3 linked regions of the Arabidopsis thaliana genome follow. The protein of the gene in region 3 purifies or fractionates together with the protein of the main gene of each other region. This does not show direct contact. Each region holds a gene or a part of one and is shown on either strand. Other genes may lie near its edges.

Region 1 (4,764 bases), on a different chromosome or scaffold from region 3:
ATAAAGGATGCAACTCGATACTAGAAAACATGATCAGCGAAGGAGTTCCGGTGATTTGCAGGCCATTTTCGGGTGAACGCAAGGTACTTGGAGTGTGTTTGGAAAATTGGGATTCAAGTGGAGGGTGATCTAGAAAGAGGAGCGGTCGAGAGAGCTGTGAAGAGGTTAACGGTTTTCGAAGAAGGAGAGGAAATGAGAAAGAGAGCCGTCACTTTGAAGGAGGAGCTGAGAGCCTCTGTTAGAGGTGGAGGTTCTTTACACAACTCGCTAAAGGAGTTTGAACACTTCATGATGACTCTATGAAGACAATTACTTGTGTGGATGTTAAGAAATCTATGTACTTTTCTATTCTAGAAGAATCTCGCTACTATTAAATAAGATAATCAAGGTCTGAAGATAAGGTTGTCACTGAATGTATGATGTGCAGAGAAACAATCATATATTAATGAAAATTATGAACATATATTGGAGATGAAAAGGTCTTGAAATTATTATCTAAATCTCAAAGTAGAACCCTAAGTGGCTGAAACCTATGTCAGCAAGAAACATTGGAAAGACTTTTGCTTTTGTTAAAATGTCACTTTCTTCCTTTTGTTGGACGTTCATTGGTATGTGGCTCTCCAATCACTCGTAAGGTCATCATATGAGGAATACTTGATTGTATTAAAATGGCTTCTTCTGAAACATTTGATTGGTTTATAAATTTTTAAAATAAAGTTTGTGTCTGACGCCATCTCTCACAGAAATAAACAATTCACTCTCTTGATTACCACTTTAAGAAGTCTGCAGACAAATAAAACAAAGGGACTTACCTCTTACAAGATAGAAAAATGAGTATATGAAATTTGTCTGCAGTCTTCTCTTGGTTTAGCTTCTACATGATACTTTGTATGATCCTCTCCTGAACAGATGCAATTTGGGACTTTGCGGTGGAAAACTCCGCAAAAGATAAGAAATTTTGTAGACACCAAGAACCTGTAACAACAATCAAATATGATCAAGACCTGCAAAAGATGCAGAACCCAAACATAAAAGAGAAACTGCTCATTCTACCTAAAAGCTTGCACAGGTAATATCTTGTCTAGATCAAAAAACATCACAAGACTTTCCCAATGAGGAAACCAAAACCAAAATAACATGACACTATCACTTCTGCAAAAAGAGTACACAAGAAAATGTCGAGCCACATGACACATATGCTCTCTTGGATTTGACATAACTCACAGTGTTAGTTACCTAGTCCCGAAGAGAAAATTAAACACATGGTTTTCAAAACCACCATATAATTCCGAAGATGAATCAAACATGATCTGGATTACATTAAGTCTCAAGTCACATGAGAGCAATTTTGATACTTAATTCTCAATAACATTTCAACATAGCACAAGAATCTCAAAATCAAATTCAACTTAGTTGATTATATTAACTCTGTCAACATCACCAAACAAGTGATTATTAAGACTTTATTGTATACCATTTATAGTAAAAGACAGAAACTTGATGAAAATTTCGATCAAATCGAGTAAGAATTATAACTGTACTGTACTTAAAAAAACAGAAACTTGACAATAATTATCAGTTCCACGAGCAATAACAAGCTCACCTATCTCTTCCTCCCCCATTGAATCCATCTATAGACTCTTTTTAATTCTCATTTGCGCTTCCACCTCCAACAGAAGGATAAGAAGCCATGGATCCAAACTTATTCTGCTGCATCATATAAGGATTTGACTCAAACGCACCATTTCCACCAGCTCCATGATGATGACGATGATTCTGATGATAAGGATCATGATTATGATTTTGATGATGATATCCTTGCATACCCATATGATGTGCATAAACTGGCATCTGCATCATCTGTTGCGTTCCATACGCCCCCGGAATCGGCACTCCAACATTACCGCTGCTACCGCCACCGCCACCGATATCTTGGAAGCTCTGTGGAGGAACAGGTGTTGAAGAGAAGAGCTTATCCGAAGCAGAGGGACCTTCATTAGTCAATCCCTGCATCCTTTTGAGGTAAAGCCTATACTTTTGAAGATGAGACGCAACGTTCTCACGAGTTAATCCTTCAACGTTCATCAGCTGCATAATCGTCTTCGGAACAGCGTTTTTGATCCCTAAGTGAGCTACAACGTCAACGAATCTCTTGTGTAGCTGCGGTGTCCACACTAAACGCGGTCGTTTAAGTGTTTTCCCAGATAGATCTTCAGTTCCTGAATCTCCTTCTTCCGCCGCCATCGCCGAATCCGGATCCACACCGCCACCGTCATCTCCATCACCGTTTGATGTCTTTTGCTTCTTCGAATCCGATCCAGGACTGCTAGATCCAACTCGATCTTCCTCCTCCACGTTATTATTCGACGACGAGGTATTTGGACCTGAAGATCCACCACGTAGCGACGAGAGCGTCGTCTCCGATGCACGATTCACATCCTGAATCGTACGGCTTCTCTCCGGTGTGATACTAAACGCCATCGCCAAATTCGGTGGAATCAGAGAGTAAGAAAGAGATGCTAGATCTTCGTCGCTTGGTAATCCCATCTCCCATTCAGAAACCCTATCTCCGTCGCCGGAAACATCGTAATCGCTCATTTGTACTTCCTCTCCCATTTCAAACTCTCTAATTTCTCGAAATTCAGTTAGAGATTGAGCTCTTCGAAGCTCAAAATCGATAAAAATTCAAATCTGAGATCGGAGAAGAAGAGAAGTTTGGTTTGTGAAGATGATGAGCAAACAATTTTTTTTTTTTTTTTTTTCAGAAGTGAAACAATTTCGAAAAAGAGAAGATTATCACTTGTTTTATATTTTTCTTTTCCAGGAAAAAGCGCAATATTTTAATTCCAACGTGGACGAGTTAGCTAGATATTTTAGATCTTCTAAATATCTTTTCAAACCGACCTAACCAATCTCTTTTCAACACGTCATCAGTTCACATTATGTATCAATAGTTACGATCTAGGTGATTGAAATTGAAATTACCAAACTAGGCACGTAAGATGGAGCCACGTGGAGTGAAAAGAGCCAAGTCAGCTATTTGTGAGGGTTTTTCAGTAAATTACTACCGACTTAGCAAGTTGTGTTTGCGGGCCTAGAGAGAAAGTGGGCAAAACCGGTGGGTTCGGCCAGCTGGAGAGTGAAAAGAGGAGAAAGATTCGGTGATGAGTATCTACAGTACTGACACGCAATGTGATCTTTCCACCGTTGGATTGTTGTTTTAGATATTTATAGAAGCATATAAAGATCAATCTAACGGCACAGATTGGCTGGCACCTAACTTTTAAGAAAATGAAAATAATTATTGTGGAAAGGCTCAGAGAGGTTTAGTTACTCTGTTTAGCTTCTTCAACGTCACGGGTTCGATGCCCCAACTTCACAAACTGACGAAACGTTATCTTCTTCTCAAATTTCTGATTCTCTGAGATTTCCCCAATTTTTCATCTTCTTCGAGTGATTAGTACAGATTAGGGTTTTATTCGTTATTATTGTCTATATTACTCCTTGATTGTGGTCGATGACCTCGCTACTTCTTCTCAGAACGCTTCCGCTTCTCCGCAACGGATTTCTCAACCATCGTCATCAAGTTGGTATCGTAGCTGGTGGAATTCTCAGTCACCGTCGGCGTTTGTTGTGTTCTCTTGCTGATAGACCACAGTTTTACGAGAATAATGATTCTGTTTCTCCGGTGGAGGGATCCGGCGCGGCGGCGATGAACGTGACATCGCCTGTTGTTGATAATAGCTGGCGTTATGAAGATCCTGATTATCGGAAATGGAAGAATCTAGAGGCTGAGATTCTTCGAGATATTGAACCTATTTCTCTTCTCGCTAAAGAAATTCTTCATTCCGATAGGTAATTTCTTCAAATTCTTGCTGATTGTTCTTCAATAGCTGTTCCATGTTTGGATTAGTATTGAAGGTATAGGCTCATAGCTTCTTCCAGTAGCTTAATCAAACAACATAGAGACACCATATGGCCTTTTGAGGTGACTATTACACATGATGATATTCTTGGCTTATTGTTGAGGATCCTTTAGCAATGGATGATAGGATTATAGTGGTCATTGCAGAAAGTGAGAGATGCTCTTGTATATATCTTCAGTTTACTTGAACATTAGGCAAATTACAACTTTTTTCTAGTGAACTATTGACATTTGAAGCTAGCTTCAGAGCATACTTGCTGTTTTCTTTGTGTAGATTACTTTTTGCAGTTCTAGTGAGCTGTTTTTTTTTTCCTTTTTGGTAAGCAGGTATTTGGATGGAGAACGCTTAGATTTTGAGGATGAGAAAATTGTCATGGAAAAGCTTCTTCCTTATCACCCATATTCCAAAGACAAAATTGGTTGTGGTCTTGATTTTATAATGGTACGTAAATTCGAGCTAACCCGATATCTCTCTCTTTAAGCTCTACTCATATAGAAATTATCTTGAGGTATTGTGCATAGTTCTCGAATCACCATGATAGATATATGACTTACTTACATGCTCTATCCATAAATCTTCATTTGCTTTATGTGCATGGACTTATGAGTGTGCTACTTTGTTACTGGCAGGTTGATCGGCATCCACAATTCAGGCACTCAAGATGCCTCTTTGTTGTGAGAACAGATGGTGGATGGATAGATTTCTCGTACCAAAAGTGTCTTCGAGCCTATGTTCGAGATAAGTACCCGTCTCACGCTGAGAGGTTTATTCGTGAACATTTTAAGCGTGCTAGTAGCTAAAAATCTGTATAACTGTCCCACTCATCATCACAGCAAAT
Region 2 (5,970 bases), on a different chromosome or scaffold from region 3:
TGTTTCAACCCCAACTGTTTCATTGTTTTCTTTTTTTTTCCCTTCTTCTTCTTCTTTATTTTTTGGATCATAAGAAATTAAGGAATCTATTGCATAAGGTTGGCATGTTGTAGATATATAAATTAATTAGTCTCCATATATATATATATATATCTAGGTTATATCTTCAAATTTGTTGTTGCAGACGAAAAATACCTACAACATTCAAAACTTCAGTTAATTGTTTAAGAAAAACACAGATATGACCAAAAAAATAAATATAGAGATAATTAATAGAATAATCTTATCTACATATATATTTATTAAAATAATCGTTATAGAAATGTTCTTTTGTTCAATTACAAAAAGAAGAAAAATATTTATTTCGTTTTATAAATTAAAATATTTATTAATATTCTCTAAATCTCGCATGGTTATTGAACTACAACTGTAAAATACAATTACAAAAAGAAGTAAAATCTTTTGACGACCACCTACAAAATGATACGACGGAGACACACAAAGCGAGTTCAACTATTAACATTAAGCTCAGATTATTGAACCAAACTAGAATAACTCAAATAAGATATGTTTTCGATTCGGCAATAAAATTTGATTCGAGATATTTTAGACCAACTAATTTACTATCCGACAACTGAGTTTGGGGTAAAAACCCGTAATTTATTAAAAACATTGAAATAAATAAAATCATTTGATATTTCTATTTTCTCATTGTTCATTAATTGTAACATGAAAGCTCATAATCTTCATTTTATAGACTCAAATCAAATGCTCTTTCAAACTAACCCAACAATGTAGTAAAAAAAAAAAAAAAACCAACCCAAAATTGGAAATCATACCATGTTTTAGATAGTCAAAAACAAGGCTAAAGAACGGAAAAATCCAAAAAAAAGAAGAAGTTATTTATGAAAAAAAAAGATAGACCGACGTTAATGGAAAGAAGAAAAGACCCAAACATGTGGCCTATATACCCATGGGACTTATACATGATTAAGATTGGCATATACATCAATGTTTTTCTTGGTAAAACATATACATCAATGTTATGCCATCAACATTAAATTATTTTAAATAGAATTTTTTAAAATATATGATATTAATTTCTTCTAAGCTAAGTGAAAAAAATATCAAAGCAGCCGTACAGTTACAGAATCAAACAAGAACTTGACAGCGTAAGAAGACATAACTCATCATACTTTCTTTTTTTTTCAAACAAAAACTACATTTACATATTTACGTAATTTTCATTATTATTATAAAAAATTTCTAGGCTCATAAGATTTTTAGGATAAAAGAGAAATTTGCAAAGAAGAAAACTAGTGTATTAATTTATGTATATGTTTGCATTTGAATGATAAGAAAATATCTCGCATGACTACAAATCTTTGGATATCATTATCTTACTATTTATACACTAACTTCTATATATCATTTTATCGTTTTATAGCCAAAATCAGAAATATTGCAAATCTTATTTTTTAATATGGTTTTTAATATTTGAGAGGCGGGAAATGTATGGAGAAGAATGTGTACACGTGGCGGTCTGGGGACCTTGTAACAAAAATGCAATTAAAAAGCTTTTGAAGCAAGTTAGCCATAGCCGCTTGGCGCTGTGTCGTCTTCGTCTTCTTCTTCCTTCTTCTTCTTCATCTCTCTCTTTCGTTTTCTCAGTAAGTGAAGGATTTGCAGAAGTAGATGATTGAATATCCATGGAGGTAATTTATGGTTTCTAATTTGGTTTTAATTCTTTGAAAGTTTGATTTTTTTATGTTATGAGATTTCTGGGTTTTTGATTCTCAAGTTTTTATGGATTTTAGGGTTTTCAGTAATTGCAAAACTTTATTCTGAAGATTGAGTGATTGCTTGAGATATAGGTTATCAATTTCCTTTATCCCTAATATTCCAAATCTCGAAATTTCAAATTACTTCTCTAAGTTGTTCTATGAGTTTATGATCTTAGAAAATAAATCTAGTGTTTTGATTACTCTGTTTTGCATATTTTTGATGGGTTTGTGTTACTTGTTTTGTAAGCTAAGTGATATTCATTTTTGTGGTTGAGGTCAATAGTGTATGGATTCTGGTTCTTTATGTCTCAGGGTGATTGGTTTCAGGAGGTATGGGAGATGGAGATGAGCAAAGTAAAGAGTTAGGAGGAGTTTCGTCTTCGAGTCGTCGTTGTTCTTCCGGTACTGCTGGTGCTGCAAATGCAGAAGCAAGAATGAAGTTTGCTGCTGTTGATGCTATAACAGAATTAGTGTGGTCTCCTAGCAACGGTCTAAGCTTAAGATGTGCAGATATCAGTTTCACGGGAAAGGCAAAATTACTCTCTCCTAACTTCTTTGATATAGGACTAACTAACATGGCGATTCACTCAAATAGCACAAGTATTGAAGACCAAGAAGATCACGTAGATGTCGAATTGAGAAACCGAGATCAAGTGAACCAAGCAAGTAATGAAATGAATAGACCATTTTCAGGTTGCTATATGATAAGTTATCTTTTTTGATAATGAGAGTTCTTGTGTGTTTGCAGTGATTGGTGGTTCTGTTGAGGATATGAAACCTGAAATGGTTGAGGATAAGGTTGAAACCAATGATGATATAAAGAATGAAGAAGCAGGATGTTCCAAAAGATCTTCAGGTAAAATGGTTATATCAAGTTAATAATGTTTGCGTCTCTTCCATTTATGACAACTATGGATTTTGAGTTGGTTTCTTCGTCTTTTGTGCTTGTTTTGGTTATCGAGTAGATAGTCCGAAAGCTATGGAAGGAGAAACCAGAGACTTGTTGGTTAATGAACAGTTGAGGATGGAAAGTGCTGGATCTCAAGAAGAAGGGGATAAGGCGCATAATAGAGTTGATCGTTTAGAATCAATGGATGAGAACAACCTCGCAACTCTTGCTGTTGTAGCATGTGAAGGTAAAGGGGACTATTTGCCGGAGGGTGAGGCTGGACCTAGTGGTTCCTACAGGCGTCGTGAGAAAGCAAAAGGGAAAGAGAAAGCTTTATCTGATGAAAACTTTGGTGGTGATGGTGAAGATGAGGATGAGGAGAGTTTTGGTAGTGTAGAAAGTTGCAATAGTGCGGGTTTGCTCTCAAGGGGAAAGAAAAGACCAGGCTTTGAGGAGCAGCTGATTTTTGGAAGCAAACGGCTCAAAACGTTAAATCAAGAATGTTTGGGGTCAACTTCAAAGCTCAAGCAAGATAGTTCCTTCATGAATTGGATATCAAATATGACTAAAGGAATCTGGAAAGGTAATGAAGAAGACAATTCTCCTTTTGTAGCTCTTACCACCACCTCAAATGCTAATGGTCATGGCCAAGTCAATGCCATCGTTGACCAACAACAATTGAGTCCATGCTGTGTGAAGGAAAATAGTGGATGCAGAAACACCGGTTTCCAGTCTTTTTTCCAGTCTATATATTGTCCGAAGAAACAAAGTCAAGATGTCGTCGACATGGATTTCCCGAATGATGTTAATGCTGCTCCTTTGCAGGAACTTCCCTGGATTCCTGAACATTGCGACATTTCCAAAGGGGATGACTTGTCTTCATCTGGTAATGAGATTGGTCCAGTGGCTGAACCCAACATTTCATCAGGAAAAGTTGTATTTAATCAGACAAGCAAAACACAGTCTTCAGAGAACAAACGTGAGGACAAAGAGCCAAACATCTCGTTGATGTCTCTTAGTAAGTCTAAGCCAAATGAAGAGCCAAAAACATGCGGTGAAGCTGATGGAAAGGTTAGTCCATGTTTAACCAACAGAAACTCTGGTCTTAAAAGTTTGTGGATTAGTCGGTTTTCTTCTAAAGGTTCGTTCCCTCAGAAAAAGGCAAGTGAAACGGCTAAAGAGGCCAATGCTTCAGCCTCAGACGCAGCTAAAACCCGTGATTCACGGAAAATGCTGGCAGACAAGAATGTTATAAGACCCAGTATCAGCTCGGTAGATGGGCCCGATAAACCGGACACTGTCCTTCCTATAGTTTCGTCAATGAGAATAGAGTCTTCAGAAGCAATGGCTTCTTTGTTTGCTAGAAGATTAGAAGCAATGAAAAGCATCATGCCCTCAGGTTCTTTAGCTGAGAATGCAGAGGAGGAACAGAGGGATCTAATTTGTTTCTACTGCGGTAAAAAGGGTCATTGTTTACGGGATTGTTTGGAAGTAACTGATACTGAGCTCAGAGATCTAGTACAGAACATAAGTGTGCGGAATGGAAGAGAAGAAGCGTCAAGTCTATGCATTAGATGTTTTCAGCTTAGTCACTGGGCTGCAACATGCCCGAATGCTCCCCTGTATGGTTCAGGAGCTGAAGGTAGAGCTATGAAGAACGCTTTAGCTTCTACCTCTGGCATGAAGCTGCCCATAAGTGGTTTCACAGACGTACCAAGGGCGGTCTTTGATGCTGTTCAAGTGCTTCGCCTGAGCCGCACAGACGTTCTCAAGTAAGATCTAATTCACACCTAAAAGACTGTTTCCCTTGTCACATTATGAGGCTTTAACATCTTTTGACATTTCATTTCAGATGGATAAACACCAAGAAGTCTGTATCGGGTCTCGAAGGGTTCTTCTTGCGGTTAAGGCTCGGGAAATGGGAAGAAGGGCTTGGAGGAACAGGGTATTATGTAGCTCGCATAGATGGTTGGTACACTTTCATATAAATCAATACTCAAACTCGCGTATTTCTCGAATATTTGCAACTGAAATATGTTTGTTTTAACCAGGGGACACAGAGGGACAAAGCTCAAGGAGACATTCAGAGAAAAGCTTAATTTCAGTTAAGGTTAAAGGTGTGACTTGCCTTGTTGAGTCTCAGTTTATCTCAAACCAAGACTTTCTTGAGGTATATAATAAAATTTGACCAATTATGTCAAAAGTTTTGAAATTTGCTAATTTGCTAAGTTTTCATCTGAATATTTTGCATTAATTTATCTGAGCAGGAGGAGTTAAAGGCCTGGTGGCAGAGCGCGGGGAAAAGTGCCAGAACAAGCGGCTACGACGGCATCCCGTCGGCGGAGGAACTTAGTCGGAAAATTCAGCAGAGAAAAATGTTAGGCTTTTAGGACATTTGTTCAAGTAGATAAATGTTTTTAAGTTATAGGTTTTACGATTACCCGTGTATTTTTTCGGTTGAAAAGGAGAGTGTAAATTTCTTAGTTCAGAGGGCATCGAATGTCTCAAACCATACAACAATCTAAAACTGGATGTCCAATCTATTTAGATTTGCGAGTTTTATTCGGATCTTTATGTCTCGATGACTATTTATTGTGATTGTTAAGCTTGTATAGTCTATGTGTGAAGGATCAAAGTATCATGGAAGAACAAAGTACATTGATATCAAGAGAGATATTGTGGTGTCTTGCTCATTTTTCATGAGGTATGTTTGATAGAAGTTGATATTTGTCCTAAATGAACTAATCTGTTTTGACATCATATTTATGTTTGGTGTTTTATATCAAAACATATTTTGGATTTAGTGTGCAATGGTCATTGTTGTTTGGCATACAGCTTGCACAATATTGTTTTTAAAGTGTCACCAAATTGAAAATTGGTTCACTCACATGAGCAATCGCTTTAGAAATTTTAGTGCAAGCTGAGACAAAGTATGATGGTTTGGTGCTATAGGAGTTTGTCTTGTAATGCTTGTCAGTGTTGCCTTGACATGAAGTAAAGTAGATGAGGTAAGCCTATTGAAATACCGATCATAATTTATCAAAAATCATGAATATTTTGTAGAGCTAGATAAGTACACTAGATCACTATTCACTACCACTTAATTATTTGCTTGGATAGTTCATAGTTGTATTAGCCTGAACTTTGCAGTAATTAAAAATTCATCAAATCGACCTTCAAACTTTTGAGAATTAGACTTAATAAATTCTGGAAAATGATACATTGTTGGGTTATCTAGCTATTTTTTTTATTTAATATGTTTATTTTCTCTTGGCCTTATTTTCCAAATATATGGGC
Region 3 (7,364 bases):
AAAATTCTGTAATTATGTACTACTAATCGTTTTATGTATGTTTATGTCATGTATGTTTAAACTTTGATATCATGTATGTTTCAAATTTTATGAATTGCAATAATTATTAAAATTTTTAAAAATCAAATGTTTATATATTTTTTAAAAACCTCAACTTAAGAGCTTACGATTGGACATTGCCAAACATTTAAACTTTTATCCAAACTTTTAACTTCAAAACTTTCAAATCAATTATAAAAATATTGCTAAGAATCTTTGCTAAGAATTCACCATTATAGATTCTCTAACAAATCTTGGCATAATCATTATTATTAAAAAAAACTTTTTGTAGAGTTCTTGTTTTTTCCTTTATAATTTACTTTTCTTTCTCTTTTTCTTTTTTTTTGGCAGAATTTAACAATTTTTTAATAAAAATTTAAAAATATAGCACTATATATGTATCAGTTAACTAACATAAAAGATAAATTAAATGACCAATGGAGGAGGTGACGGCTCCGACGATGGTGGCTCCAACGATGGTGGTAAGTTCGGCAACAGTGTGAATCTAGTGAGGACATGCGGTGGATCCGGCGAGTGGTTCTCGCGAGGATGGTGGCTTGGAGGACGGCGATGGTGGTGAGGACACTGGTAGCTCCGGCGAGGGCAGTGGTTCCAATGAAGATGGTGGCTTGGAGTTGGAGGACTGCGGTAGTGGTGATGAAGATGACGGCGGTAGTGGTGGTTCCGCCGATAGCGAAACTGTGGTGGTGATGGTTGTTGTGGTGGTGGTTAATGGTGATAGTAGGGAGGATAAAATTGTCATATTATATATTATACATCAACTCTAATATAAACTTTATTGTATAGGTTAGTTTCCTCATCATTTGCTATTGCAAGTTATTTCTCTCTCTAAAGATTTGATGTAATTTAATGCTTACTTAGCCATTTTGCACGACGCAAATAAACTAATACCGCAAAATTCGTGATTACGCAAATAACATTATCTAAATGGCCAAAAATAACTCATCCCATCTCTTCTTTTTTTTTTTTTTTTGGTCTAAAACTCATTCAATCTCTTCTACACTTGCATTTTCTAATTACTGAACAATAAACTGCTTCATACAACATAATTTTAAATATGTTTCGTTTGAGATAAATTGTTCGACATTACTAAAGATTTTGGCTGATCAAAAAATTTATCAACCTTTACCACGATTCAATTGCCTAGTCATAGGCACGAAGACTCTTGTTTTCGTTTACAAGCATTTGAATGCTAAAAGTACATAGCCGTCTTTGGAGACATGATCTAATAAAAAAAGATCTACGTTGACGTATAGAAAACACATTGATTAAAGAAAGATATCTCTTAAACTTTATGGGCAAGAAGAAGATATTTTTATAACCTGATAGACACACATGGCAAAATTAAAAATATCTAGATATATGTACAGTTAATGTTCTTGATATTATTGTGCCCATTTGCATTAGACATGGCACAAAAATGAACACGTCATTTTTCAACTAAAATAACTTTTCAACTTATTAAAAAATTCGAAGATAACTATAATTCGTCGATGCCTATACGAAATACGAGGTTCTTTTTAACACCTTCTTTGGACAATAGATATTGAGATTTACATCTTCTGCTCTTTCCGACAAAAGCCCATCTCTTCTGTCTTATTTTCTTCTGAAGGTTCTGTTTTTTTTTTTTTTTTTTTTTTTTTTCTCATCCAAATAAGTACTTGAGAGAATTATAAGAAAATTCGTACTTCGTTTCTTTGGACAGTGTACCTCCACGTATTCGTCTCTGGTAATAATCTCCATCACAAATCTCTTTTTTTTTTCTTTTGTGTGACTCTTGTTTCTGGTGGTACAGTTTGCTCATCGATTGAATCGATTTGTATTTCTTCCACACAAGAAAAATGGATTTGTACTTGTTTCTGGATTTTATATATCTGGTGTAATTGTAAGTATAAATTTGTGGAATTAGCTTCTTTTTTTTTTTTTTTTTTTTGGAGAATTTACTGAAAAAGAATGTGATCCTAGTTTATCAAAAAAAGAATAAGAATGTGATCCTCCTCACATTTGTTTGATGAAACTTTTTGTGTTCTTTAGGTTTAATTCTGAGGTTGTGTGAAATTTGGTGAAGAGAATTTTGAGATCATAGTAATTATCCACTTGCTTGATGCTCATGAGCTCTAGTTTAGTATTGTGTTTGTTTTGAATTATGATTGAGATAAAGGATATTTACTTCTCAGGTGATTTAATCAAAGCCTCTGGAGAAGATCTGTAGGTACGTACAAATGTCTGAACATGTTATGGTTTTGGGTAAAGGTAACAAAGGAATCAGCAAGAATTCTTCAGTCAATCCATATGAATCAGCTTGGTTAGGTCGTTGGACTCAGTCAGGTAGTGAAGTGAAGTTTCATGATGGTGAGACCAATTGCTCTAAGCAGTTGATAAGACCTGAAGATGAGAATCATGGAGTCGAGGTCTTGCCGTTTCCTATGTTCAAGGTTTCTCAAAAGAGAGAGACTACTACTACTACTACTACTAAACCGTCTTTCCATGAAGATGTTGGTTCAAGCTCGAGAGCTATGGTTAATAGAATGCCCTGGATGTATCCGCAAGGAGAGAACTTCAGTTCTAGTAACCGTCTTGACTTCCCAATTCAAGAAAAGACTACTCAAAACTTGCTAGAGTTGATAAGACCGGTGAGGATTTACGCAACGGTTGATTCTGTTAACTTGCCTAAAGAAGATAGTCATCAGTTATTGAAGGGGTCTACAGTTTCCATGAAACTGAAAGGGAAGATTTTTGGTGGATATCTTGATCTGTTTCCTAATCAAGATCACTCCCACAATAGAGGAGGAGTAAGGCTGCAGTCTCTAGAAAGCTCAAAGGATACTCAAGAAGATGGACCGAGAAAAAATGAATCATCGGCAGAGACTAATACCTTAGAAATGGATAGACTTCAGACTATACATCTTTCCGGCTCCATTTCTTCGTCATCAACTAAGGTATTGTTCAATCGACATATCTACATATCTTTACTCAAAATGTTGAAAGTTGTGATTGTGAAAGATGTTGAAAATTCCGCAGGGAAAAGGAATAAAAGGCTACTCAGCCATTCCAAGGACCGAAATACCTGACATGAATGAAGAACCACCTCTTGTTCCGGATAGAGAGAATTCAGTAGATGGACATCAGGGAGAAACAAGCAACTCGGCTACTCAAAGTATGAATGTGGAACACTTTCTGTCCAGAGATTGCAAACGTGTGCGGTTGGAACCAGAAGTAGAAGCCAGCAGTAGATGGGTCAAGCGTCTGAAGACAAGCCCCTCAGATTCCAGTGAAACCAAGAGCATGATGAAGATGAAAGAAGCATCACTGGGAGAAAAAGAGAACAATAATCTATTCCTTGAGATCTTGAAGTCCGGAATCAACAATCTCCAACCGAGAAATCAAGAACCCGTCGTTTCACAGAGCAATGATCTGAGACAAGGAGGAGATGACATTACACTTCTGCATCCATGGATCCAGAGGTGGTGCAAGAAGAAAACTACATCAACAGATCAACCAACAGGGCAAGAAGCTAGCTTTGAGCCAGAGAGTCACAAGGAGTTCGAGAAGAAACAGTATCCGAGTATTGCAGCCATGGCATTGATGGGGAAGGCTCTGAGCGGTTTAAACCCATATGGTCTTAGAAAGACCAACTCTCTCATGGTTTGGAATGCAAGGGATTTGAGGTAGGAAAACAAAACCATCATCCTCATCTTCCCTTGTTTATCATTACAACGTAAAGTCAAGAACATCAAACAGAACTAGCTAGCAGGCTTGCTACGATCAAATATTTTGACAGGTTCTACCTTATATGTCAGTCTGACTATTCTTATAATAGTTTCAGTTTATGTATGAATACCTTGTTTGCATCATAAATATTCCCTTTTAATCGTTACCGCATCAGTATTTTGATTTGTTACTGGCCTTACAAAAATGATAGCATAATTCAAAGTGGTAAGTAAATCTGTTCTCTCGAAAATCTTGATTCAAGGGAAAAAGAGTAACATTTAACATTAAGTCAAGCAAGTAGCCCTAGTGTTAATCTGCTGACTTGAGTGAGTAGAAACCATCCTTATCGTGCCTTTCACCATCAAATCTCTTATCGCCTTTCTAGCAAGCGACCCATTGATCTACGACAGAAACCAATACAACATTTTACACATGATCAAATTCTTGAGCACAATAAAATTTCTCTTTCAATAACTCGATAATCTTGAACCTATCCCAACACATTATAAAGAGCTAATTCAGTGAAAAGAGTGGAGGTAGAGAGTTAGTTAGTTTACCCGAAGACGGTCAGAGAGAATCGAAGGAGTGATCAATTTGAACTTAGGAGCTTCAGACATAAGCTTGTCGTAAGTTGCTTGATCGAACAGAACCATGTTGTTCACCTTCTCCTTTTGCTTTCCTTTGCTCCACTTCTGTTGAAATCAAGAAATGAGAAACGTAAATAAAACAAAACCCACCAGAAACCAAATCAAAGAAACTTACTGATCAAGTAAAAAAAAAAGTGATTGTGATTTGGTAAAGGACCTTCTTTTTCTGCTTTCCGCCACCGGATTTGGCGGGTTTAGAGGATGGTGGTGGGACTTTGTCCTTCTTTGGTGCCTGGAATCAGTCAGAGAAACCACACACGAAATCTGTATGCGACGAATAAAATCAACCATCCGAAATACCTAAAACCTATATAAGCCAAATATTTTTATTTTTATTTTGGTAAGGTTTGTTCGATTTTTTTTTGGTAGGGTCTTGTTCAATTTTATGTAGTAAAATATATTTTTAAATTGTATATTAACTTTATGTTTTATTATATTCCAAACTGGGTTATAACTTATAATTAAATGTAAAAATTTAAATATTTGTGAAATGGAGAAAAGTAAAAATTTATCATGACAGACGTCTTCATTTCCCTTAATCTTAATCTTAACATAGTAAAAATCTCTTTCTTCAATTTATCTATATATAAGATTTTACTTTAGTTATGTTTTAAAATAATAATATACTCTTAATTGGGTTATAAATGTGAAATCTATATATTTTTAAAAGGGAGCAAAATCAAATCTTATTGTGATAAATATATATTTCTTCATTATATATCCTTAACTTTTAATTCTTCAGTTTTACATACAGATCTTTACGGTGGAATTTAACGATGGCAGATTGGCCCTTACTTCCGAATGACTTACTAGAACTAATCATGGGTCATCTTGAGACATCTTTCGAGATTTTCCTCTTCCGTTCCGTCTGCAGCTCATGGCGGTCTGTTGTACCTCCACTAGATCATTCCCGCTGCTTAGGTATCAAAACTCATGATATATCGTTCAATGTCGGCTTTTCGTTCAACGGCCGACCAACGAATGAATATTGCACACTAAAAAAGATTCCAATATATCTCGTGAAATTCTGGACTCCGTTTGGTGATGATTATCTATTGGCAGAGATGCGTGAACGAAATGATGGGGAACCGAAGTTATTGTTGTCGCCCTTGTCATCTAATGGTATCAAGTATGGAATGGGAATAAATAAAGTGTTGTTCAACTCTCTTACCTCACCAATTATCCCATTTGGACAATACTACGAGGTTGGTGTTCAAAAGCTCATATTAGTTTTTGAAACTTTTATCTTTTCTTTTTGATAATCATTTAACCACCACTTTTTAGTTAGTAGGGTGCTTGAGATTGTTACTTATTTCATTGTCTAACTGATTTTGAGGTAAATCAGCTAATGTTTGGAATTCTTTGTGGTATTAATCACGATTCTGTAAATAAATATATACAAGTCACACTATTCATAACTAAGATATATAGGATTTAAACTGATATCAAACCCATCGTATTAGCAGCATGTAATCTTATCTCTAATAAATTCTCTCTAACCTTGCTAATTAATAAATAAGACCGCAAAGTTGGTCCTGTTATTATTATCATTATTTTCCTTGTGTCTTCAATTTAGCCCCATAATCTTCGATGCAGATAACCTACATTGAGAAGCGACCCAGTGAATACCGCTTTGGATTTCCCTATAAACTAGAGTGGGTGGAGATTACCGAGAGAGTTGAATTTCTTAAACTGGATAGTGAAGATAGCAGAGATTTTGCGGTGCTTTTTGCTGGAAGAATGTGCAATTTGGTGATGTATAGAAGCCGTAACATGAGTTGGACTCAAGTTGTGGAGCATCCTGAAAAGTATGCATATCAAGATTTGGTTGCATTCAAAGGAAAGTTTTATGCTGTTGATTCAAGTGGAAGGGGACGGGTCTTTGTTGTCGAACTTTCTTTCGAAGTTACGGAGATCCCCTCAGTCGGAGGATCGCAACAGTCTTCTAAAGAAAGTCTGGTGCAGTCAGGCGAGGAGTTGTTGCTAGTGCAACGGTTCACACCTGTTGGGCGGCGTTATGATGAATATATATATATACATGGTTCAGAGTGTTTAGACTTGATGAAGAAAGAGGAAAGAGAAAGTGGGTTCAAGTTAATGACTTGAACGACCGAGTGATCTTTCTTGGAGCTCAGACGAATCTCTGCTGCTCAGTACATAAGCTCCCAGGTGCAAAGGAGAATTGCATTGTGTTCATTGAATCAAATGATTGTTTCATCATTGACAATGACTCAGTCCTTTTGTTTGACTTAAAAACCAGAAGAACTAGTACTGCGTTTAATGAATGCAAAGGCTACATGGGCGTGTTCGGCGCAAATCTTGAATCTTTATTGTCTTGTGGACTTGTGACCATTCGAGACCCAACGAAAAGCTTTGATTTCTGTTATGATTATAAATATTAGTCTTTTTTTTCTTCTGGATTCCAATATGACAAAACATCTATTAATATATGTTTCGAAACGCTATTATTATATTTAATATATATTATTTGTATAGTTTTCTGATTATATTCTACCAAACAAGGTGCGGTAATCGTCTAGTTTTCATGTTATTTGGGAATCATTCATTGCAATGACAAATTTTTTGTAAGAGCATTGATCAGGTCATACGAAAAAAGCTCCTTTTATTCTGATGCATACAACTTTTTTTGTATTCTGATGCATACACACGTACACAAAAACACATACAAACATGAAGTGATGAAACATAGATAACTTTTTTTATGATAAAAATGAAGATGGCCAATTGCTACATTCATAATAACAGGTGCACGTACGGAATCCATATAGTCCCACGCAACGACCATAATCGTTAGGCCCGACGTATGCCTTCCTACAGTACGCTTTGCAATTATCACATGGTACACCCTTGTTCTCGCGTTGGCACATATAAGAACCTTAAACCCACGGAAGAAAAGAACAAAAAAAAATTTGTTAGACATTTTAC

Evidence for each region. The genes of interacting proteins can lie anywhere in the genome.
Region 1: the proteins of AT2G16365 (region 3) and PCL1 purify together in Arabidopsis thaliana (affinity purification with mass spectrometry, with the first as the bait; one study listed by BioGRID). This does not show direct contact.
Region 2: the proteins of AT2G16365 (region 3) and TZP purify together in Arabidopsis thaliana (affinity purification with mass spectrometry, with the first as the bait; one study listed by BioGRID). This does not show direct contact.

The regions. Positions count from the first base shown.
Region 1 is NC_003074.8:17,181,100-17,185,863, reverse strand, and holds PCL1 (Homeodomain-like superfamily protein), read right to left. Parts: upstream 2,795-4,764; 5' UTR 2,617-2,794; coding exon 1,743-2,616; coding exon of another isoform or gene 1,645-1,742; exon of another isoform or gene 978-1,644; intron 976-977; coding exon 875-975; 3' UTR 813-874; exon of another isoform or gene 679-812; 3' UTR 510-678; downstream 1-509. Other genes in the region: AT3G46650 (UDP-Glycosyltransferase superfamily protein), read left to right, coding at 84-303; AT3G46630 (DCL protein (DUF3223)), read left to right, coding at 3,518-3,855, 4,253-4,367, 4,556-4,726. UniProt on the Arabidopsis thaliana protein: Transcription factor that is essential for the generation of the circadian clock oscillation. Is necessary for activation of CCA1 and LHY expression.
Region 2 is NC_003076.8:17,525,145-17,531,114, forward strand, and holds TZP (zinc knuckle (CCHC-type) family protein), read left to right. Parts: upstream 1-1,584; 5' UTR 1,585-1,715; exon of another isoform or gene 1,716-2,096; 5' UTR 2,097-2,116; coding exon 2,117-2,450; intron 2,451-2,532; coding exon 2,533-2,640; intron 2,641-2,749; coding exon 2,750-4,445; intron 4,446-4,525; coding exon 4,526-4,641; intron 4,642-4,724; coding exon 4,725-4,843; intron 4,844-4,940; coding exon 4,941-5,063; 3' UTR 5,064-5,461; downstream 5,462-5,970.
Region 3 is NC_003071.7:7,072,658-7,080,021, forward strand, and holds AT2G16365 (F-box family protein), read left to right. Parts: upstream 1-1,704; 5' UTR 1,705-1,789; exon of another isoform or gene 1,790-1,945; intron 1,946-1,994; exon of another isoform or gene 1,995-2,237; 5' UTR 2,238-2,282; coding exon 2,283-2,999; intron 3,000-3,081; coding exon 3,082-3,728; coding exon of another isoform or gene 3,729-3,732; exon of another isoform or gene 3,733-3,992; intron 3,993-4,055; coding exon of another isoform or gene 4,056-4,172; intron 4,173-4,328; coding exon of another isoform or gene 4,329-4,463; intron 4,464-4,575; coding exon of another isoform or gene 4,576-4,653; intron 4,654-5,160; coding exon 5,161-5,623; intron 5,624-6,014; coding exon 6,015-6,524; 3' UTR 6,525-6,862; downstream 6,863-7,364. Other genes in the region: AT2G16340 (uncharacterized protein), read left to right, coding at 477-521, 588-827. UniProt on the Arabidopsis thaliana protein: Together with PCHL, regulates growth and development adaptation to the ambient environment by controlling negatively phytochrome B (phyB) dark reversion, a temperature-dependent thermal relaxation process during which phyB reverts from the active to the inactive state.